Linked DNA regions of Oreochromis niloticus. The protein of the gene in region 1 purifies or fractionates together with the protein of each later gene. This does not show direct contact. Links are inferred from orthologs where the notes say so. Each region holds a gene or a part of one and is shown in the gene's direction. Other genes may lie near its edges.

Region 1 (7,671 bases):
AAACTGCCTAAAACACTTCTACATCAAATCTGACTCCGCATATAAGCTCACAGCAGCAGCGGCTTCAGCTGTGGAACACATCTGGACCCCGAATGCAGAACAACCAAGAATGTATTTGTCCGCATGCAGGTCAATGGCTCTTTGTCTGTATTATTAAATCAGATAATATTTTGGGCTGTAATGTAACACTGTTTGAATTGATGAGAAGTTAAATCTTACAGATCAGCGTGACTCCCAGCAGAGCTCCACATCTCAGCATCAGGCGCCCCTGACTTTCCTCTCCCAGGGCCGGGTGTGAGCTGCCGCCGTCACCGGGCCACGGCAGCACCAGGAAGCCCCCAGAATGTGCAGCTTTCATCCCTGAAGGTCAGAACAGACTGAGAGGGAGCTAAACCAGACGGAGGAAGGAGAGATTAACAGATTAGAGGAGATTATCCAGCACAGAGCTGCTCTGAAATCAGTTCCACGTGCTGGGAAGGAAGGATCACAAGTGCCACCAGGAACCACCACTCTCTGCCATGGGCAGGAAAACTGTTAGTGATGACAGCAACGCCTCCAGCACCAGGACACGGGGGCTCCCCTAGGATGTGCTCTTCACTCTGCTGACCCACGACTGCACACCATCACACAGCTCCAACTCCGTCATCAAGTTTGCAGATGACACAACTGTGGTAGGTCACATCAGCAACAACGATGAGACCTACGACTGGAGTGAAGTTAAACATCTGGCCAAGTGGTGCAGCAGCAACAACAACCTGTCCCCAAACGTGGAGAAGACTAAGGAGATCATCATAGACTTCAGGAGAACTCACACCCTGCACACCCCACTAACCTGCACACTAACTATTGAATCTGGCACTATTAGATTCAATAGAATACATCACAAATTCCATAGACAAAAGGCAATATGTGGCTGGGTTATTCATAGACTTGTCAAAGGCATTTGACACTATAGATCATAATATATTAATAAGAAAACTGGAACGTTGGTGTCAGAGGGGTAGCTTTAGATTGGGTCCAGAGTTATTTAGGTGACAGGAAGCAGTTTGTGAAATTAAATGGTGGTTGTTCCTTATGTATGGACATTGCTTGTGGTGTACCCCAAGGGTCAGTTTTGGGTCCAAAATTCTTCAACTTGTACATTAATGACATCTGTAAAGTGTCCAAAGTATTAAAAATGGTTCTCTTTGCTGACAATACAAACATTTTTTGCTCTGGTGATGATCTGCAGAATTTATTGGAGGATATGACTAATGAAATAAGTAAAGTGAAGTTCTGGCTTGATAAAAACAAATTATCATTAAATTTGAATAAATCTAAACTTATGTTATTTGGAAATAGTAGTTTAAATACAAATGCAAAGATTGAAATAAATGGTGTTGATATTGAAAGAGTCAGTGAAAATAAATTTCTGGGGGTAATAATAGATGAAAAACTTAACTGGAGAGCTCACGTAAGATATATTCATTCCAAAGTATCACGAAGCATTGCAATACTAAACAAGGCAAAGCAGGTATTAGACAGAACATCCCTTCATATTCTCTACTGTTCACTGGTTTCACCATACTTAAGCTATTGTGCAGAGGTCTGGGGCAATAACTATAAAACCACATTACATTCACTTTTTACTCTTCAAAAAAAAGCAATTCGAATCATCCACAATGCAGGTTATAGGGAACATACAAACTCACTATTTTTGCAGTCAGAAATATTGAAAATGGATGATCTAGTGAAATTCCAAACAGCACAAATTCTATTCAAAGCAAAAAATAAAGAACTGCCAGGTAATATTCAGAGTATGTTTTTTTTGAAAGAAGGAAGCTATAATTTAAGGGGTTTTTGTAACTTCAAAACAGGGAAGGTGTGAACTACAAGAAAAGGCTTTTGTGTTTCTGTTCATGGGGTGAAACTATGGAACAGTCTGAATATGGAATTAAAGCAATGTCCAAACATAAAACAGTTCAAAAAGAGTTATAAAAATATGATCTTCTCGAACTATAAAGAAAAGGAAAATATTGAAATTAAGTGAATGTCTCCATTTAAAAAAAAAAAAAAAAAAAAAAATATATAAAAATAAATAACAATTAAAAAAAAAAAAAAAATTCATGATGTAACATTATAGCATAAAGTAGATCAGAAATCTGTTCACTATTTCTATTACAAATTATATCAGTAAGGAAGCTGACTAAATATTAACTGATAATTTATGGCAACGGGGTGGGATTAAATAAGTGTTTACTTCTTCCCACTCCCTTTCAACATGTAAATTAATCAGAATGTTCTTTGGGGGTGTTTTTGTATGTATTTTGTATAGTGTATATATATATATTTTTTTTTTCTCTCTCTCTTACTTTTTTTTCTAAATGTACCTGTATATTGTTCACATGTTGAAATAAAAATTACCAACCAACCATCAACGGTGCTGCTGTGGAGAGGGGAAGCAGCACCAAGTTCCTGGGTGTGCACGTCTCTCCTGGTCAAAGAACACAGCATCGTGGTCAGTAAAGCCCAACAGCGACTCTACCTCCTCCTCAAACTGAGGAGAACGAGAGCCTCAACCCCCACTATGAGCACCTTCTACAGAGGCACCACTGAGGGCATCCTCACCAGCTGCATCACTGTGTGGTGTGGCTGCTGCACTGAGTCTGCAGGAAACAGCTACAACAAGCAGTGAGAGCAGAGGAGAGGATGGTAGGTGCTTCTCTTCCCTCCCTCCAGGACATCTACTGCACCCGCCTCACCCGGAAAGCCCTCTGCATCACAGGTGACTACACCCATCCGTCCAACAGCTTCTTCAGTTTGCTGCCATCAGGAAGGAGACTGAAGAGCCTCGGGGCCAGAACCAGCAGACTGAGAGACAGCTTCGTCCATCAGGCTGTCAGGATGCTGAACTCTCTCCCTGCTCTGTCCCTGTCAACCAGACCTGCACCCACGTCTTCCCTCTGACCCCACAGTGCCCACAAACACTCAGACTGTGTTGGACAGTGTTGTGTGTATAAGACTTTTATCTTTTATGTTGTTTAGTGTAACACTGAGGGCCGTGGGAGCCCTGCAGTTTCAAATTCCTGTGTATGATCTGTACATGTAGTTTTTGACAATAACGCTGACTTTGATGACGCTCTGCTCTTTGGTAAACAATAAAATGAAATAAAATTACAATAAAATCGCTAGATAAGACATATAACAGTCCTGCTCTCAGCTCAAGCTTCATCCCCTGGTGAGGTCTTCATTGGATCCGCTGCAGTTTGCTTGCCTGGCATCGGGGTGGAGGACGCCATCATCTACCTCCTGCAACGAGCTCCGACTCACCTGGAGAAGCCTGGAAGCACTGTGAGGATCATGTTCTTTGATTTCTCCAGTGCTTCTCTGACCGGTGAACATCCAGGGAGTGGACATTGAGATAGTGGACTCTTATAGGTACCTGGGTGTTCACCTGAATAATAAACTGGACTGGAGCCACAACACTGATGCTCTTTACAGGAAGGGTCAGAGCAGACTCTACCTGCTGAGGTGGCTGAGGTCATTTGGAGTACAGGGAGCGCTTCTAAAGATCTTCTATGACTCTGTGGTGGCATCCATCATTTTTTACAGTGTTGTATGTTGGAGCAGCAGTTTATCGGCAGCTGAGAGGAAGAGGTTGGATAAACTCATCAGGAAGGCCAGCTCTGTTCTGGGATGCACCCTGGACCCAGTGCAGGTGGTGGGAGACAGAAGGACTCTGGCCAAAATAACATCTCTGATGGACAGAGTCTCCCACCCCATGCATGGAAATGTTGCTGAACTGCAGAGCTCCTTCAGTGACAGACTGCTGCATCCTCGATGCATGGAGGAGCGTTTCCGCAGGTCCTTCCTCCCTGCAGCTGTCAGACTGTACAACAAAACTGCTCCCAACAAACAAAATGTTCACATCAGCGCTGTAACTTGCACTATTTTATCAACTGATTCACACTACAACCTGGGTTTGCCTCTTATCTGTATTTAATTTAATAACTGTACAGTACTCTGTTTTTGGTAACTATTGTCCGTGATGTAAATATGTAAAAAATTGTGTATGTTTCTGTTCTGTTCTTGTGTACTGTTTGTTTGTATATGTGTCTTTCTTGCTGCTGTTACATCCAAATTTCCCCTTGTGGGACAATTAAAGGATTATTCTATTCTATTCTATTCTATCTGCTCTGTCCAGTAAACTGTACTAACCAAAGTCAAATTTATATGTCTCCAGATCCACACTCAGCACTCTGTGGGTGTTTATTTTAGAGACCACGGGGGCCCAAACTGTATGTTATATTTATATGTAACGCAGGTGCCAGGGTGTAGTTATTTTATGAAACCTTCTCTGTGCTCTAAACTGAAAATGATTTAGAAAATACACATTTTAGATTTACGTTATTTGTCCGGAGACGCTCTGGAAAACTTCTGGTTCATTATGACATCACAGCGTGTCACAGGAAGTTCAGTGGGCGTGCCACTGTGTGGAGACCTGCAGCTGAAAGGTGTGCCTCACCTGTGTGAGTTACTTTTCTCTGAAGCACAAATACCAGAAAAAAAAACTTGTTTTTATTTATTTTTTTAATGTATTTTACTACGCGCTTTTTCAGCTCGTGACGTCACGGATATTATTCACGCCCCATCAAAACAAAACAAAAAGAAGATGGCGCCCTGGCCCGAGCGTGGCGGCGGTACTGGCTCCTGTCGGCCTCCCCGCTGACCGGCCGCGGTGCCGGCTGACCCCTGGCCCGGGCCTCCGGGTCTGCCCGCCTCCAGCCTGAGAGCAGCGGCTCGGCTCAGCGCCTCCACAAAGATCCCACTGACCAATGAGCTGCAGGGACGCCTGAACAGGAAGTGATGTATCTGTGCGGCCCAATCGGCGGTTGTAAAAAGGCAGCGGGCGGAAGGCCCGCCCCCTGACTGTCGAACCGGAGCGCGCCTCGAGAAGAGCCGTGCGAACCCGTCCGAACTCCGTGGTGCCGCTCCAGCTTCAGGTAAGCCCGGCCCGGCTCGGCTCGGCTCGTCCCAGTGTCACACGCAGGCCCCGCTGAAGCTTTCGGGAGGCGCTCGGTGTGCAGCGGCGAGCTACCGCTGGTGGGGCGGTGCAGACTGAGTGCGCGCAGTGCGTGCTGAGCTCGTGCTGAGCTCGAGAGCCCGGTGACCCGGCTCGGCTCAGCTGGGCCCGCACGGTCTGTAGGTTCGGGTCCCCGCCAACAGGCGCGTCTCAGCCGGGTTCAAAGGAACAAAACCCGGAGAGCGGGCGGAGCGCCCCCTGCGGCGGGAGCTGCCATTACACCTGCAAACTACAACTGATTGAATCCAACTTTATTTAAAAAGATTTACCGACATCAGAGTTTGTACAGAGCTGCTGTTGTTTAACTTCACCGTCAGCTGAGCGAATGAAGGCCAGCGTTTATTAATCATACCACTACTTTATTTAAAATAAGAGCCGTGACAAAGAGACGGAGTACAAACGGCAGCAACAGAAAACATCGAAACGTCACAGTGACCGGAAGTCTGTCCACACTAACGCCACTGCCGTGATTGTGCGCGTGATGAGCGGGGTCAGGTCATCCTGATCAGTGTGTTAGGCAAGCGCAGGTGTTTGACTGAAACTGCACAGATGTCCTCATTTGAATCATAAATGTTTTAAATAAACCGACTTCTACTTAAACCGGGACTAAACTGAACAGCTGTGAGGTTCACTGACACAAACACGCCCTGTGAGTCTGTGATGCTGATTAGCATCAAACCTGATGGGACCCATCCTCAGGCTGTGAACACACCACAGAGTATTTCAGCTGATTTGTTCTGTGTGCGGTCTGTCCCTTCAGTCTTTGTAGTTTATAGTTTGCTGTCACTGCGGTAACGCTGAGAGGCGACTCCGCCTTTCTCTCATTGGTCTTTGAGCTCATAGGTGTTCTCTGAAACTAAACACACTTGAATATTTACAGTTAAAGTTACCAGTGAAAAGATCACCTGCTCACCTGGCTCTCAGGTAAGCTGCAGGTATGCAGTACCAGGTGGGACTTTAATTTGACAAAGCCCTGCCCCTTTTAAACATTTGATCGTGAATGTCATGTGATGTAGTGGAAATGTTGCTGGTCAGATTTTTCTTTCATCTTGTTTACAATGATGGTTTCTCTGGTGGTTTCCATAGCAACATGGATACAGAGTTGTTTATGGAGTGTGAGGAGGAGGAGCTGGAGCCATGGCAACAGGTGGATGACAGTGTGGAGGAAGATGACATGGACTTCATGGACAACTATGGAGAGCCAGGTGAGTCTCAGAACCAGATCCTGGACCAGGTCCAAACTCTAAAACCAGTTCTGGACACTCTGGACCTGAACCTGAACCCAAACCCTAAAACCAGACTCTCTCTCTCTCTCTCTCTCTCCATGTAGTGGAGGATTCTCCGTCTCCTCTCCCAGTCTCTGAGACTCCACCTCCAAGGACCTCACCACCCATCACACCTGCTGCAACAGGTATGTGTTCAGTGTTTCTTTGAATACCTGATGACACCAACCGGAGCCCCAGACATCCAGAAGTCCTAAACTGAGTTTGGATGATCCCAAAGCACACAGACGGCGTTTTCACTCGGATGCTTTGATCTTTGATCAGTTGTGTTACTGTAGACTCTTTAACTTACAGGATGACTGTTGAGTGTGTGATTTAGCACAAGATAAATAAAGCTGAGTTTACAGGTATCATCAGGTTCAGGTGTTGAGCGTGGCCGCTCTCTGTCTGATGTTCATGTGTCAGAGCAGCAGAGCTAACACATTGTGGAGGAAAGGGTCAGCAGGTCAAAGGTGAAAGCAGCAGACCTCTTCTCTGGGACAGGCAGAGCTTCAGCAGCTTTGTTGGAGAACTAAACATGACGATGTCTGAAGCTCGTGTTAAAGCTGAAGCTGATCCTGGAACAGCCTAAAGCGGCAGAGACGCAGTGCTGTGTGCTGAAGGTGTTCCTGGGATGTGGAGGAGCAGTCTGTGCTTCTGCTTCCCTCTGTAAAATCTGAAAGAAAGAAAGAAAATCTGCTAACCGATTCTTTCTTCTTCAGCTTCATCACCTGCCCAGGTCGTGTCCTCTTCCTCTGTGATACCTCCCCCTCCTCCCTCTATCGTTACCACCTCCTCCTCTGCCCCGCGGCTCCCTCCCTCCGCGGTTGCCTCCACGGCCCCGCCCCTGATGGCTCAAGCTCCACCACTCATCCTGACTCAGACAGCGGGTGGAACATTTCTACTTCCAGCAGCCACCGGCACCGGCAGCAGCCAGCCCATCCTGCTCACCACTACGCAGGTATGGAAATCAAACGCACCCTGTGCTGCAGCAGGTCAGCCAAACCAAACGCTCCTCTGTAAAGTTACTATAACGTGAGAGTAAAGTGTAACATAACATGAAACGTACATGTGTACTATAACATAATAAATTAAACCATGAATAATAATCCAGAGTTTAGGCTCTGCCCTTTAAAGCCTGACTGCAGCGTTTTAAAGGGCGGAGGAGTGATTTAGTGTTTTGCTCACGATTACTTTAAATCATGATCTTCGTTATTTTGTAAGCCACTCCCTGCTGTTCAGCTGGACCAAGGGCCGGTGTCCTGCTGGTTGTGGATGTGTCCTTGAGCCAACACAGCTCATTTAAATGGCTCCATTACCCTTTCAACATACCTGTACTAATCATTT
Region 2 (7,889 bases), on another chromosome or scaffold:
AAACCGGAGGAGTTGTACTTACATCTTATGCCATCAGCTTACCCTAGGTCACGGTTTCCTTCCACATATAGCTTTGCAAAAATTGCTTAAAAAGCACTTGCAGCAACAAAAACATAATATTCCAGAAACACGCTTTGCCGATCTGATCAGTTGTTCAAAACACTTCCTACATTGGAATAGACGTCAGCGCGAACTATTGCATGTCCGCCATTACCTGCCCGAAACCGGAAGTGACATAGTTTTCGCGGAAAAATGTAGTTTTTTACCTTCGGGGCCTTATAAGCCTATACTGGTGTTTTTAAAAATCATGTTTGACTTCATGCTTTTCTGAATAGTTTCTGGGATGCTTAGAACTCAAATTGCACTGCTGGAAATAATTTGTTTTGATGCACATGCTGTTTTTTTGCAAATTTGCATCATAATATTTATTTTCGTTTTTCCTGCAGTATATAAAAATTGGTGTATTTCAAAAATAAAACTATGAAGACACTCAAAATAAATTTCCTTTTTGTTGGAAACTATTTTGTGCAAGTTTTTTGTATTTACAGTATTGAGGAATAAACCTCTTAAATTTCTTTAACTAGAAATATATGTAAAAAAACCAAAAATGATTTTCAATTTTTTGGTAGTTTATTGCACTTTTTTGCAATTTATGTAGTTACTATGGACTTAATGCATACATATTATTAAAGTTTGGGCTATAACGGTTGTATTGATGTATAGTAACTTGAAATGCTCCCAAAAATGGCACTACAGCATGTAAAAATATAAAGATAAACTGTGGTGGACTTGGTTCTATGGTAGGTCTTAAAGGGTTAAGAGGATTTTCAAAGCTTTTGAGAATAAAGTTCGACTAACAGGTCTCTCTAAAATATAGGACTTGGACCCCCTTGTCACTGAGCGTCTGTCAGATCTCGACACTGACATCACCAGCGCCATCAGCCGGAATGTCAGTCTGCATGATGCTATGCTAACCAGTCCTGGAGTGTTTGGGTTGGCATCTGATAGAACTGAGCCCAGGACCACGACCCAACAACAAAGGGCTTTCTTTCGAATGGAATCCACAGGCTCTTTAAACTCAGATGCTTCACCTGGGATGGCTCTAGGTCTTGCTGCACTCCCCTTTGCCTCAGTATGTAACATAACTGGAAATGTGTCATCAAATAGTGCACTGGGTGGCTGCCTAGATGAGGCAGTGTTTGACCAGATCAATCAGCTTGGTTTGGAAGGTCTGGACTCAATTGACAGCAGCCTGATGGACTGTCTGGACAGCATAGACCCACAGGTCCTTGAGGACTTGGAGTCAGACTCTGGTCTCTCCTTGGAGAGCAGCTCTGGAGGTCCAGTCTCTCCAGGTTGGTTCAGATTGCATTCTATACTTGGAAAAGTTGCATGTCTTAATTTCTATGTTTTGTGAAGCTAAGAAATTTTCTGTTAAATATACTGACACAGTCATTAACTCCTCACTTTGTCCAGGCTCATCTGAGATGTCATCCTCATCCAGTTCATACTGCGAGGATGAGTGTGGAGCTACAGGCTACAGCAGTGAGGCAGACTCAATCCCCTCTAAAGGCATTGTTGACTACACCACAACATGGCCACCTGTTGAGAGTGTGTGGCACGACCACAGCTACTCATCTGCCAATTTCTTTAACCAGCCGTCAGTAACGCTGCCTCGCAAAAACATCAAGGAGGAGCCTCTCAGCGATGACGATGGATTTCGGCTGGAAGAAGGGGAGCTGAGTCGTGATGAGCTGCGCGCCCGTGCTATGTGTCTGCCATTCTCTGTCCTGCAGATAGTTAACATGCCTGTTGAAGAGTTCCTGGAAGTTCTTGATGGTCATGGCTTTTCCCCTGAACAGGTGACCCTCCTGAGGGACATCCGCAGGCGTGGTAAGAATAAGCTGGCAGCCCAAAACTGCCGCAAGCGCAAATTAGATGCCATCACTGGGCTCCAGGAGGAGGTGGAAAGGCTGCAAGTTCAAAGAGACAAACTGCTGAGGGAGAAGCACCTTACAGCAAAAACAATGGGTGCTGTGGGCCATCAGATAAGGCAGCTGACCAGAGACATCCTGTCCCGGCTGAGGGATGAATCAGGAACACCCCTGAACCCAGACAGATTCACCCTGCAGTGCGGGGCTAACGGGAGGGTTGTAGTTCAGCCTGTAAGACGACCTGCTGTCTCCACATCTGGCAACAAAACAGACAAGAGAAAGAAGGAAAAAAAGCAATAATGCAGCATTTCCTGCTGAGACTTGACCTTTTCGGTTTTGGGATATTGCGGAACCTAATTGCCTGACTCTGGTTTTAGGGTCTCCTCTTTTGCAAAAGTGTGTGTTGATTCACCACTGTTGAGAACCTAAATTCAAAAAGAAAAGACACTCAAAAAATAAGTAAATGAAAAAAAAAAATGTAAATACATTATTTGATGGGAAAAATGTAGATCACACACTGGACATTCTCTTCTTGTTATAGGTGGATGTGGCCGATGGGGTAGTTTAAGGGAACAGCTAAGCTGTTGGTAATGCCAGCAGTCTCTTTGTGCCTGTTAACATTAAAGTCATAGTCTTTCTCATTTTTACAGAAAATTGTTGGCAATCACACATGTCTAAAAGTCAACTTGGCCAGGATTGTGATATTTACAGACAGGATAGAGATCTAAGAGGAGGATTTACCTGTAATCTTGCCTTTAGTGTTTTCCTACTTGGTATAAGAATGAGGTTAAAGGATTGTATTTATTAAACTTTCTTAGGTCCCTGAAATGCTTATAGAACTGTTAAGGATGTTTTTTTTTCCCTCTCCCAAAATGGTAACCTTTGGTCAGAGTGATAAGAATATTGGGTTATTACAAGTCCAAAGTTTACTGATTTGTTCCCAGTATTTGAGGGCATGCACTGTTTGAGTAAAAAAATTAAACTGAAATTAAAAAAAATGAAATAGATATCTTTTGCTTACATGTCTTGATGACGTGCAGTATACCAATGACTCAAAGGACTTGGCCTTAATTTGCATTTGATGTGTTTTGGTAAATATGTGTGTACATCATACATAAGTGCATATATCCATAACAAAAAAGTTCTTACATAAGAATTCAACTATAATTTAACCCCTTTCATTTGAAGTGTTTTAGAGTTTTTGGCAAGATTATTCTACCTCACAGCTTAGTCTTTGTTAATTTTGGCTACATTAAAAAAAAAAAAGCTCCCACCCCGCTTTTTTTCTTTATTTTTTTTGTCGTTTGAAGTGCACTCGATAACTACGATTCCATTATAAATGTGACCATAATCACACATAAAAGATTCAATTTCTGAAACAGGAAAAATACAATCACCAACTTTATTTAAGAGGTCTGAATGCTGTTTGAATGTGTGTGTTTGTGTTTTTTTTAATATTTATTATCTGAGAGTAGAATCAAGTGGAATTAAAAGTCCGCATCTTATTTATGTGTACACACTTTCAAGTAGTCACCTGAGTGAGTAAACTGAAGAAAGATGCATAAAGTATTTGAACAATGATTAATCTGAAGAACAAGTTGACTGAACTTCCTTTCTTTACAAGTACTTGTGAGATATTTTTAGATTCTCAGGCCCCAGTTTAGTTTTTTTTTTCTGGCTAAAATCTGAAATTCCCTAAAGTGCACTTGTTTAATAAAAATCCTTCATTATCAAAGTCACCCAAATTAAACAAACTGCTAAAAAACCCTAAATAATAAATTACTGATTCATATTTAAGAAGTTTGAATGTTGTTTGGATGCCTCCTTTTTATATGTATAAGATTATTTGACAGTTGAAGTATTAATAGGGATTGCCATCCTGTTCCTGGTTATGCTGCGCAGTAGAGTCAGCTGAGTGAGTGAAATTGAGAAAAGTCCATGAAGTAGTTTATGTGGCTTTCAGTTTTTTTTTCCTTTGTTTGTATTTTTTTGTTTGGTTTGAACCTTTTCTTTGCTGTTTGTATGAATTTCATTTTCGTAAATATTTGCTTTGTTTCTGAAGTTAAATGTGTTTGATTCCATTGTGATTTTTCAAAGTGTGCATTTGCTTACAGAACTTGAGTTGCTCCTGCAGACTTTTTAAAATAAAAAATAAATCTTTTGAAATACTTTTGAATGGCCTTGATTTTAAAATCAACATATAGGAACATATTATGGAAAGAAAATGCAGTCTTAAAACATCAATAGAATTTAGATCAGGGATGTCAAACATAAGGCCAAGGGGCAAAATTGGCCTGGCAAAGGATGCAATCTGAGCCACTGGACAGCTTTTTAAAATGTAAAGGATGGTACACATTTTGGACTTTTTAACTGTATTTCCATGTGTTTTACAGCTTTTCCTAATGATAAAAATCCTACTCCCATCAACATTCACACCAATTTGAGTAAGTCATAGGTAATATTAGATTTCAAAAATACTTAAATGACAGAAACGTTTCTGATTTCTGCAGTGGGTTCACAGTAAATAAATAAATAAGGATACAGTATTATCAATACACAAAACCTTTCTATTTTATAGTTACAGGACAGTCTGGGCAACGAGCAACCTTAACTACACATGCATTTCCTACAATCTAAGCCCAAAGAGTCGTGCTGACTGAGTTCTCCTATTTAATACAGCTTCATTTCTTTATCATGCAAAAATAACTGAGATATACTGTTGAAATTGCACTTCTTTTTCTTATATTAAGATTTTGCGGATATTAAACGTGTAATTAAACCTCTTTACACTGGTCCGGCCCACTTGTAAACAAAACTGGCTGCATGTGGCCCACGATCCAAAATGACTTCGATATCCCTGATGTAAAGTTCTAGGCTTCATTATCTACAGGTTTTGGGGAGCGAAAAGCGTTTTCCAACCGGGCTTCCGTAGATGGTGCACAAGTATGCGCACAAGTATGCGCGTAAGTATGCGCGTCAGTAGCTTTTGGCGCCCGTGCTGTTCAGCCACACTCTTGTAGACATAAAGAATCAACTGACCGCGTGGAAAAGAAGTGCCGTTGAAGCGATTCTCTTGTTTTAGGGTATGTATGCAGATACCGACTTGTTTCAAAAAGGGTTATCATTAACAGAGGTGTCAGAGTTAATTGGTTCACTGTAGCGAAATAGCAGTATATGCTAACCAGTTGTTTTACCATTTGGACGCTGTTTCGAATGAGAGAGAAACGATCTGTTGACTACAGTTGCAGTACTTTAACGTCAACAGGCAAGCGAAAGTAACAGTGTCTGTTCCTCGTTATGCTGTAGTTGTATCCTAGAACTTAACATTATTTATCCGTTTGTAAAACGTCGAGTGTCGCGTTGAAGTTGAGTACGTTGTTGTTAGCGCAAGTTACGTTAACATTACCCGCACGCTTTTTTTGTGCCAGCTCACCTATTTTAAGTCCCTCCGCATTGCAGGTGACACGATAAAAGTGAAGTAGGGTTTCCCTAACGGTTAAAGGCCAGCTAAAGTTAGCATGCGAGCTAACGTTATAAGAATTTGGGTATCTTTGAATACTTTAAGAGTTTATCGCTAAGCTAGCTAATGCTGTGTTTTACTTCCCGTTGGTGGTCGTCCCTTTGTCAAGGTTGCCTAATTTTATTACCCTAATGGGCAAATAACAGTCCTCACACTTAAATTCGTTTACGATCCAGGTGTCTGTGGCGGTGTGGTTTGCCAGGTAGGATGGATTTGCCAGAACAGCGGCTTTAGGGCCTATGGCCAATCCTAAATGTGGATATCAGGAGCACATGAATGTGAAGGATTTGTTAATATCAAACTCTTATCGAATTCCGTTTTTTGTTTGTGTTTTTAGATCACAAAATGGGAAAGAAGCAGAATACCAAGAGTAAGAAGGATACACAGGAAACACAGGAGGAACCTGAAGAATTCGTTGTGGAAAAAGTGCTGGACCAGCGTGTTGTGAATGGGAAAGTAGAATTCTACCTCAAGTGGAAAGGATTTACAGAGTGAGTTGGCTGGGACTCCTGCCCCCCTCCTGCTGAGCTGGAAGTGCTTCCCTGGTATGGGGTTGTGCTATACTTTTGTTTGAAGTCATTGTGGTTGCATGACGACGGTACCTTTATTCAAGCAAGCTAGCTGATGCTAGTATTTGCATTTTTTTTTTTAAAATGGAAATCAGTGTGAATTGGTGCAATGCAAATGTTGACTCTCTTTCTGCTCATTTAGTGCTGATAATACTTGGGAACCAGAGGAGAACCTGGATTGCCCTGAGCTGATTTCAGCATTTTTGGAGGCTCAGAAGAACGTTAAGGAGAAACCTGCGCCTGTTAAGAGGAAGGCCTCCACGGAAGAGCCAGAGACAGAACCTAAGAAGAAAGATGTGGTGAATTTCTTTGCTTTCACACGTTTCTGCAATTAGCATGTCCTAAAGACAATTTCAATTTAGGACAGCAAAGCTTAACACGGGGGCCATTCAGAGAAAAGTTTGCATAACTTAAACAAAAAAGAGCATTATTATAAATGAATGTATTATATACATAATACATACATAGGTATATACATACATAATACATATAATCATATTTGTGCTCAGCTGGATTTGTACATAGACATTTAACTGTGCATTATACTCTTGAAATGCAGCTGCTTCTGAACTTATGCTAGAATATGCAAGGATTTTAAATGAATCAAAATGTGTTGTTTTGTCTTTCCTATCTTATATGGCTACATTCTCTGTTGTAACCACCTACAGGCTGAGAAACCACGTGGCTTTGCTAGGAACCTCGAACCTGAGCGAATCATTGGCGCAACAGACAGTAGTGGGGAGTTGATGTTCTTGATGAAATGGTACATTTTTAAAAATATTTTCTAGATGTTGTAAAGCCCTTTCTTTGGATGGTTGGAAATCTGTGTCCTTGGAAGCAAAATATAATGAAATGAGTGTTAGTTCAAGACCTTAGCGCAGTAATGTTTTGTTAATCTAGTTACTGTGAAGGCAGTGTAATTCATAGGACGGATGTGCATGGTATACAGTGAGTCACTGGTGTTTTATGCTACGAAGATAGACGGCCAGCGAATTCAAAAGTATTGAGTGCTATGATTAATGGATCCTTCACAGTACAAATAATTATCCTGAAATACTGTAATACCAATCAAAGAAAGTTTAAAGTGAAGGAAGTGTAACTGAGTGGAATTACTTGGATAACCATGCATTTTATTTGTGGAAGGGGAGAAAAAAAGTCTTTCTCCCTGTTGGATACACACCAGTCAGCAACTGATGTCCAAGGCTTCAGTTGTTTCCTGCAAGAGGGTTGTGTTTTGTTTTTTTTTGTTTTTTTTTTTTAAATTTATTTATATTTAAGTTGTTGTTTGCATTTGAGGTCTTAAAAATCGGGAACTTCCTTTGTTTCACTAAATTTTTTTTCTTAAACCCTTGAACTTGAATCTCAGTGTCTACACTTCAGTTGCTTTTCACTGCTTAGATTTTGCTACATGGTGTACAGAGCCACAGTTATGAAACTGCCACTGTCTAGTCTGTTCCTGCTGTAAACTTTTCTCAACTTATAAACTTAGTTGATTTCAAGTACATTAACTTATGCTGGCTTTCTATAATGTTCCTCTCTCTCAATCTGCCTTCTTTTAGGAAAGACTCGGATGAGGCAGATTTGGTCCCAGCCCGTGAGGCCAACACCCGCTGTCCTCAGGTGGTCATATCCTTTTATGAGGAGAGACTGACCTGGCATTCCTGTCCAGAGGATGAAGCCCAGTAGTTCTTCTCTGCAACCCATGCAGTTGCCTACATCAACATCGTCAACCTTTTCCTCAGGACTGGATTTCTCCTGACTTGCCTTCTAGGTCTAGCTAAATTAGTCTTTTTGTTGTTGTTTTTTGTTTTGGAAGAAGTTTCAACATTTGCATGGCAGTCGTGGAGAGTTCTGTTGTAAATATAA
Region 3 (7,755 bases), on another chromosome or scaffold:
CAATGAGCTCCTGACACAGTATACTCTGACAGATGCTCAACTAGCACTGGTCAGAGACATTAGACGAAGGGGGAAGAACAAGGTCGCAGCTCAAAACTGCAGGAAGAGGAAGCTCGAGAGCATAATTCACCTTGAAAGGGAACTGAATCAGCTGCAGGCCCAAAGGGAACACCTGGCACAAGAAAGGCTAGAGTTCCAGCGCAGCTTGGCATTCATTAAATGTCGTCTTACAGATCTTTACACGCAAGTATTTTCTCATTTACGAGATGAAGATGGACAACCATACTCGATAGATGAATATTCTCTACAGCAGACACCCGATGGTAAAATTTATCTGGTACCTCACACAATGCAGAAGAGAGAGCAATGCTGAAGAACTGGGTATAATTTCTTTACTCTGGAGAACATTCTACCCGATTGTGCCACTTTGACTGATTCATGCAGGAAGTTGTCAAAAGAATCATGTTAAGCTTCATAAATGTATAAATGGACACTTTTCATGTTCAGTTAATGAATGAAACCAGAGATTTGTTTTTATACAAACACTTTATTAAAAAAAGTTTATAAAAAATTAAAACTGCACAGCAGTCTTCTTAAAATATTTTGAGCACCAGCATGAATTTTCAGCCAACCTGTGGGGAGAAGGGAAAACCATATTAATTCAAATTTAAAAAAACTAAAAATACAAACAAGTAATGATTTTTACCTGTCAAAAACCATTGTCACAGAAATGAAGCCAGGTTTTGGGGTCCATGTAGTTACCTACAAAGGAGAAATACTATAAATAAAACAATAACCCAAAAATATAAAATATTTGCTCATTTCATAGCATGCAGTATGTTGGGCCTCAATGCACAATTGGAGGCCAAATTAAGTCAAAAAGTAGAATGGTCATAAAACTTAATTATTACTGGGCTACATATCTCACTACCAGCTACATGACAAAATGCAAGATATACCATCAGTAGTTGAGAAGTCTGGTCTTACCTACAAACAGCACTTAAGCCTTTTGGTAGCTGCTGCCTGCTAGACTCAGGCCTCTGTTCTCACTCTCCCCTGCTTCAATGATCCTGGCGATGGTTTTGCTACTTCTCTCCCTCAGCTTGCTTCCATGGCTAGCCTCATAGACTTTGCATGTAAGCTAGCATTCTCCAGGTGATCTTTGCAGAAATCAGGGCAGAGCTTGTACCAAAGTGATGGGCTTTCTGATGATGGCATTTGCGCACCATTTCTTTGCCCGCCCCTTAACCAGTATTGCATATGCGCTGACCTGAGGCAGCATGTAGGAGACACGGATATTGACTTTCCCCGGCCACCTTGTGATGTATATGGCTCGACCCATTTTCACCTAATAGTAAACCCTCCCTTTCCCAAAACCACTGAAAAGGCTAACGAGACTGTTAAAAAAACTGAAAGGTGTTTATTTCAGCTTGATTTGATGCAGTTACAAATAAAAACCAGACTTAAAGATCTACACAAAACCTCATTGGAATGCTTGCTTTCCATTAACACAATTGACGAAAAAAAAGAGAAAAACATAACACAAAATGTTTAAATGAAGGCCCTCCATGATTTATCTACTGTACATCTCTTCTTGCAGCAGCTGTAACCTGCCACAACTCATAGGCTGAGCAGATTTAGGAGGTAAACCTGCAGTTGCCCTGTCACTTCGCTTGCTCTCCTCTCCTTGCTCTCCTCTCCTAAGTACTCAGTCCTGTTGAACAATACGGAACAACATTGTTAACTGTGCACTGACTTTGTGACCTGACATCCAGAGTGAATTTGTTTAAAGGTTATCTGCACTCAATGATTCCCTGCTCACCACAAGCTGTTGTTTTACATTAAAAGACTCTTAAGGCATGCTCTCAAGCTCTTACCACTTTCTCATTTTAAAATCGTCCTGGACGTCCATAGCCACTGTTGTTTGAGCCTCCGTATCCACCTGGAAGCAAAAAACAAAGTATAAACCTACACGAGGCCAGCGTACAATAAACGCATTTACTTGTGAAGTCTGGGAACTCATACCAAAGTTCCTGCCGCCGCCGCCGCCACCAAAGTTGCCCTTCATGGGGCCAAAGTTAGAGGCCTGGGGGTCGTAGTGGCCCATGTTGTTGTAGTTATTGCCGCCACCGCCGCCTCCACCACCACCACAATTGCCTGCGATTACAGAGTTTATAACATTGGTCAACCTCGAGCAAGTTCTAGTTCTAGTAAAAGGCAGTGAAATGGCATTATCTTACCATAACCATTGCTGTCATAACCATTTCCTCCATATCCACCACCCTGGTTGTAGCCCTGGTTGTAACCACGGTTACCTCCATTATAGCCACCAGGACCACCAGGTCCGCCTCCATAGCCTAAATATATAAGACAGCCTTAAAATATACTGTAGAGTTTAAAAAAAAAAAAGCAAAGAAAATAGGAAGACACAACAAAACCATGCTCACCACCATCACTTCCGTTGCAATTGTAAGGACCATCTCCATATCGCCCTCTGCCACCTAAATAGGATAAACACAAGGTTTGCTATCACATAGTATAACAATCAATCACTCCACCATCAACAAAATAAGCCATACCTTGATTGAAGCCCCTGTCGTAATCGTAGGGCCTGCCACCAGTGTTGCGACCTCCTCTCATTCCCATACCCATTCCCGCACTCTGCATTTCCTGCTTTGTGAGGGCCTTCCTCACCTCACAGTTGTGAGAGTTGATAGTGTGGTATTTCTGGACTGTGGAAAGCGATTTTTTGTAAACAAGCTAGCCAACAATCAAAATTCTGACAAAACATGCAGCTAGGGAAAAGTCAACTTCTGTACTTACTGACAATCCTATCAACTGAATCGTGGTCATCAAACGTAACAAAGGCAAAGCCCCTCTTCTTCCCAGTGTTGCGGTCAGTCATGATATCAATGACTTCTATTTTGCCAAACTGCTGGAAATAATCCCTCAGGTGTGACTCCTCTGTATCTTCTTTGATGCCTCCAACAAAGATCTTTTTCACAGTTATGTGGGCTCCTGGCCGGTTTGAGTCCTGGAATCAAAGATATTTGTTATTGTAATCACTATGCGCCTTTTGAATGCAAGAACAATTGCACCTCATCCAGTTGTTACACACCTCCCTGGAAACCGCTCGTTTCGGCTCTACCACTCTTCCATCGACCTTATGGGGACGGGCTGACATGGCAGCATCAACTTCCTGCACTGATGAATATGTTACAAAGCCAAAACCCCTGGATCGCTTGCTGTTGGGGTCCCTCATGACCTGAAAGAAGAGTGCTTTTGGATCAGCTCATACACAGGGTACCAACATGCTCTACATTCTTGCAAAATCGTGACTGCTCAAACAAGACTACATCCTTAATGAAACGACTTACCACGCAGTCTGTAAGGGTCCCCCATTGCTCAAAATGAGCACGCAGGCTTTCGTCTGTCGTCTCGAAGCTCAAGCCTCCGATGAACAGCTTGCGGAGCTGCTCCGGCTCACGTGGGACCTATACAACAGAAAGCAATGCGATAACATCTGATTAGCTGCTCCAATGTCGGCTTTAATGTAATACCACAATCACTTTAAATCGGGTAGTAATTAACGCTGTTCACCGTGTACATACATCCTTCCCTGCGCCCCTTATTAAAATTCAGGGCGTGTGGAGGAGGGACACACCGCCGCCATTAACGTTAGCAAAACCGCTGGAAGACCAGCGAATAGGTCAAGTTTTAGAAGTAGTTATAGATCAGAGTCGGTCGTGATTTAAATGCCTGTAGCATTTAAGCGCAATTTTCCATCGTAAATGTTGATTTAAAGTCCTAAATTTCCACTGCAGCTCATCTGCAAGAACAAAAGGCCACGAGGCCTGGCTGCTATAAAATGGCGGCGTTACAATGCAGGAAAGCTACTGCAGCTACGACCCAAACCGGAGACTGTACTAAGAATAAAAAGCATGCAGCAACTTCATATCCTACCTTCCCTAACATAAAACAACGTATACAATAACAGATAAGTACTCCCGAGCCCAGTACTCACACTCTCTCTCGACATGTTGCAGCTTTAGTCTTGAAGACGTGTTGTGTAACAAGCGAAGAGCCGAGATCTGCGTCAGACGAGTGTAGCCTGCTAGTCAACAGTACAATAAATAGCAACGGTAACGCCCCTGTCGCACAGCAATTGGACAGCTATTCCCGCTGCAGTTTGTCGTCCGCAGTGATTCGATCTTGATTGGGCTATGTAGAATCAATCATTACCAGCGTCCAATCACCTGGTGTACAATGACGACAATGAAAAAATGGATTATGGTTGTTGTATGTGAAAGGGAAAACTTCAAGAAGGTATCGTGTCTATCGTGTATAACGCCTTTAAGTCAGTAAGCATACAGTCTGCACAGCTCGGTAAGTTATTTTCCTGGAAAACACAAGGAAGACGGGCATTTTCTTCAGATTAAACATCATACGAACCGTAAATGATTCTGTTTTCGATTTGTGGGCGGAAGCACAGCTGCCTTGTACAGCAATAGCCCTACCTCCCACATTAACATACACACCTTATCAAAGAAAAAATATTTTCTATACAGAGTGTGCACGTATTAATACAAAAAATATTCCAAATTGTTACAGAATAAACTTAAAAACATGGTAGAAGCACATTCAACCACTTTATCTGTTGATCATCAGCTGACCGAGGGGCGGGGTCAGTTATTGTGCGCTTTTAACGCGCGCTTTTTTTTTTTGCGCACAGCACCTTTTGTGTGTGTGTGAGGCTAGCTGTTAAAGTAGCTGAAAGGTTGGCCTCGCTGCTCGTCCACAAAGACAGGGTTTGACGGGTACAGATCGACGGTTGGAACCTCCAGAAGAGTAAGACACTATTCTTGCAATGTCGAGTTTCATGGTGCTGTAGATATGGGCGCATGGTTTGATAGCATAGTTGTTTAGCTCGATTTAGCGGTTGCTTGCAGGCTACCTGCTGTAGCAAGTTTTCCTTTGCTTTGCTGCTAGCACCGTTCAGCTAGTAGCCGTCGTCCTTGCTACTTGCACGTTTTAGTAGTAACAGTGACCGACTTTTCACCGTTTTAACGAGTAGATGGCGATCAGGATGTTTAGCTGCACTGTTTAGTTGGCCTTTTTAACGTTCCATGTTGCAATTAAACAAGCGATGACGATATTATGCCTCTCGCTGAAATATGATAGCCATCTTGCTAGCGGCGGCTAATTAGCTAATGTTAAAGTGTTACCGATCTGTAACTTGTGGATGCTTTGCGATTGTGATGTGGCTGTGTAGCCATTATTATTATTATTATTATTTTTAAAATGATGCGTTTTTATTAACTAGAACTAGTGGGAGAGCGATCAAAACTCAAATATCTTTAACGTGAGCTTCTCCGTTCTTTCTAAACAGGGAAGTGTCACCTGCAACCGCGTTGTGTTAAGCACCAAACTTTACCATGGGCAAAAAGTCTCGCGGAGAAGAGTCTTCATCCTCTGATGAGGAAGAATATGTTGTGGAAAAAGTGCTGGACAGGAGGGTGGTGAAAGGAAGGGTTGAATTCTTCCTAAAGTGGAAGGGATACTCGGAGTAAGTAATTAAATAAATGTACTCACCACGGTCCTAAGCTCCATAGTCAAAACTCTTTTGCATCTTTATTAAAATTAAATGTTGTAAACAGTTGGTCACATTTTGGAGTAGGTTATTGGAGATTTCTAAAACCTAACACTCGGGTACAAGATGCACCCAGTGCACAACAGAACAGCTCTCTTAGACACAGATGCTCTGCCATCTAAAGGACAGTAATGACCACGGAAGTACCATTAGATTACAATGTTTTAAACATTGCAAGATCTCAAATTTTTTAGCATATCTTGCAGTTTCCAATCCGAACTGGTGCATTAAGGCTGCACTGAGTTTTCTACTCTGTGCTCTTTCTCAGCAAGCACAACACATGGGAACCAGAGAAAAACTTGGATTGCCCTGAGCTTATTGCAGAATTCATGAAGACCTACAAGAAAAGCAGTGGTGGGACCTCCACACCAAGCAGTGGGGCCAGCAAATCAAACACGGCGTCCTCTGGACGCGCCAAAGATTCCAGCAGCTCAAAGAAGAGGAGCTCTGACGATGACGAGGAAGGTGGAAGTAAGCCCAAGAAGAAAAAAGAGGTAAGAACTATTTTTTGCTGCAGAAGCAGGATGTCTATATCTTGAAATGTGCCGCATTTAGCTTCCTTTTCTTTTACTTGACATTTAGGTAGCACAACGCATTTATATCTAAAGTGTGTGGAAACTGAAACTGTTTACATTTAAAGACAGCTGGTGTAAATTCAAGAGTTTAATACAAAATCCAGATTTCTAAAGTAATTTTGTTTGGGGTCTTTCAGGATGACATTCTTGTCGCACGCGGTTTTGAGAGAGGACTTGAGCCGGAGAAGATCATTGGAGCAACAGACTCATGTGGAGACCTCATGTTTCTTATGAAGTGGTAGGTTCTGAAAGTCTTGATTTAATTTTGCCTTTAGTTTTTGTGTGAAATCGATCAATAAATGCATCTAATGGTAGAAATCTTCTTACATGCACAACCATACAGATGACCTTTTGCCCCAGATTCAGGCAGTTCTTCTACTATATGCAGCTGTACTGACATAATTCTTTTTAAAGGACAGCTCTTACACTCTGATATTTCTATTTGTAAATTGCCTTTAGCAGCATTTATAGCTTAGCTGGCCTATGTTTAACCACACCATAAAGCTTTATGTAATTGCATATTATCTTGAGGGATTAAATGTAGTACATTGTTGCTCATGCTTGGTTGAGCCCCATTTAAGGGTTAATATCAGATAATAGTTGTAGTAATGTTTAATTTATCACAGAAACCTGCACAGTCCATTTTTTTTTTTTTTAAATTGTTTTAAGTTATAATTTTAATAATAACTTGCAGCAGATTAAATTTAAATGCACTCCATGTAATTACTGTAATGTGTGAAATCTTTTGCTACATTTTAACAAGTTGGACCAAATTTGCATGCTGCAAGTGTTATGAAAATGGAGATATTATATCTTGGTTGTGCAAAGACACAAACCCAAGCGGTGATTTTAAACTTTCTCTTTTCAGGAAAGACTCTGATGAGGCTGATCTCGTTCTCGCCAAGGAGGCCAATCATAAGTGCCCACAGATTGTCATAGCCTTCTATGAGGAACGTCTCACCTGGCATGAAGACAGTGACAAGAAGGAGAAGGATGCTGTCAGTGCGTGAGTGTATCGCCTCAGGAGAAAACGGGACCTCTTCACTGCAGGGACAACCTTGAGTCAGACATTTTTCACATCCTAAACTCCCAACCTTCAATTTTTACCATGTCCAGCAATGACACACACAAATTTTGGACACTGTGTTATCTCCATCCAAGCCTCATTGGAGCACACGGGCCCAGACTACTAAAAAGGATCCATCATTCAGGAGGAGAAGCTGTAGATGACATGGGTGATATGCTACTGGGGAGAGTTTATACTATTCTGTCTTTGTATTCTTTACCTTCTTTTAAAATAAAAAAAAATAAATATTTTAACACATTCTTTTAGTGCTTACAGGATACGATTATGTTAGTGTTGAAAATCAGAGTTGGTACAGGCTGTGTTAACACCGAGTGTGTTCCATTGTGGGTTCACAACTTTTAATTTGCTATAAACGGTGTACCTCTTCTTTTTAAGAACCCAGCTGACACCACAAGGATGAAATGGTTTTTTTATTGTTTTAAGTCAGGAAGCAGTCACCGCAG

Evidence for each region. Proteins that work in one complex are often made in the same cells at the same time.
Region 2: the proteins of pogzb (region 1) and cbx3a purify together in Homo sapiens (affinity purification with mass spectrometry; 7 studies listed by BioGRID and IntAct, with this or other methods). This does not show direct contact. The link is inferred for Oreochromis niloticus from reciprocal best matches to the Homo sapiens genes POGZ and CBX3.
Region 3: the proteins of pogzb (region 1) and cbx5 purify together in Homo sapiens (affinity purification with mass spectrometry; 5 studies listed by BioGRID and IntAct, with this or other methods). This does not show direct contact. The link is inferred for Oreochromis niloticus from reciprocal best matches to the Homo sapiens genes POGZ and CBX5.

What each region holds. Positions count from the first base shown.
Region 1 is NC_031976.2:38,269,771-38,277,441, forward strand, and holds the start of pogzb (pogo transposable element with ZNF domain), read left to right. Parts: upstream 1-4,588; 5' UTR 4,589-4,982; intron 4,983-6,148; 5' UTR 6,149-6,152; coding exon 6,153-6,267; intron 6,268-6,392; coding exon 6,393-6,473; intron 6,474-7,046; coding exon 7,047-7,285; intron 7,286-7,671. Other genes in the region: retinol dehydrogenase 12, read right to left, coding at 220-358. UniProt on the Homo sapiens protein: Plays a role in mitotic cell cycle progression and is involved in kinetochore assembly and mitotic sister chromatid cohesion.
Region 2 is NC_031985.2:25,229,706-25,237,594, forward strand, and holds the start of cbx3a (chromobox protein homolog 3a), read left to right. Parts: upstream 1-4,860; 5' UTR 4,861-5,017; intron 5,018-5,632; exon of another isoform or gene 5,633-5,656; intron 5,657-5,791; 5' UTR 5,792-5,799; coding exon 5,800-5,945; intron 5,946-6,165; coding exon 6,166-6,322; intron 6,323-6,691; coding exon 6,692-6,786; intron 6,787-7,582; coding exon 7,583-7,709; 3' UTR 7,710-7,889. Other genes in the region: nfe2l3 (nuclear factor erythroid 2-related factor 3), read left to right, coding at 878-1,355, 1,477-2,234.
Region 3 is NC_031984.2:19,129,107-19,136,861, forward strand, and holds the start of cbx5 (chromobox protein homolog 5), read left to right. Parts: upstream 1-4,726; 5' UTR 4,727-4,848; intron 4,849-5,389; 5' UTR 5,390-5,435; coding exon 5,436-5,566; intron 5,567-5,918; coding exon 5,919-6,144; intron 6,145-6,362; coding exon 6,363-6,463; intron 6,464-7,093; coding exon 7,094-7,235; 3' UTR 7,236-7,755. Other genes in the region: nfe2 (transcription factor NF-E2 45 kDa subunit), read left to right, coding at 1-373; hnrnpa1b (heterogeneous nuclear ribonucleoprotein A1), read right to left, coding at 1,890-1,942, 2,026-2,157, 2,241-2,357, 2,448-2,501, 2,580-2,732, 2,824-3,034, 3,119-3,265, 3,378-3,494 and 1 more. UniProt on the Homo sapiens protein: Component of heterochromatin that recognizes and binds histone H3 tails methylated at 'Lys-9' (H3K9me), leading to epigenetic repression. In contrast, it is excluded from chromatin when 'Tyr-41' of histone H3 is phosphorylated (H3Y41ph).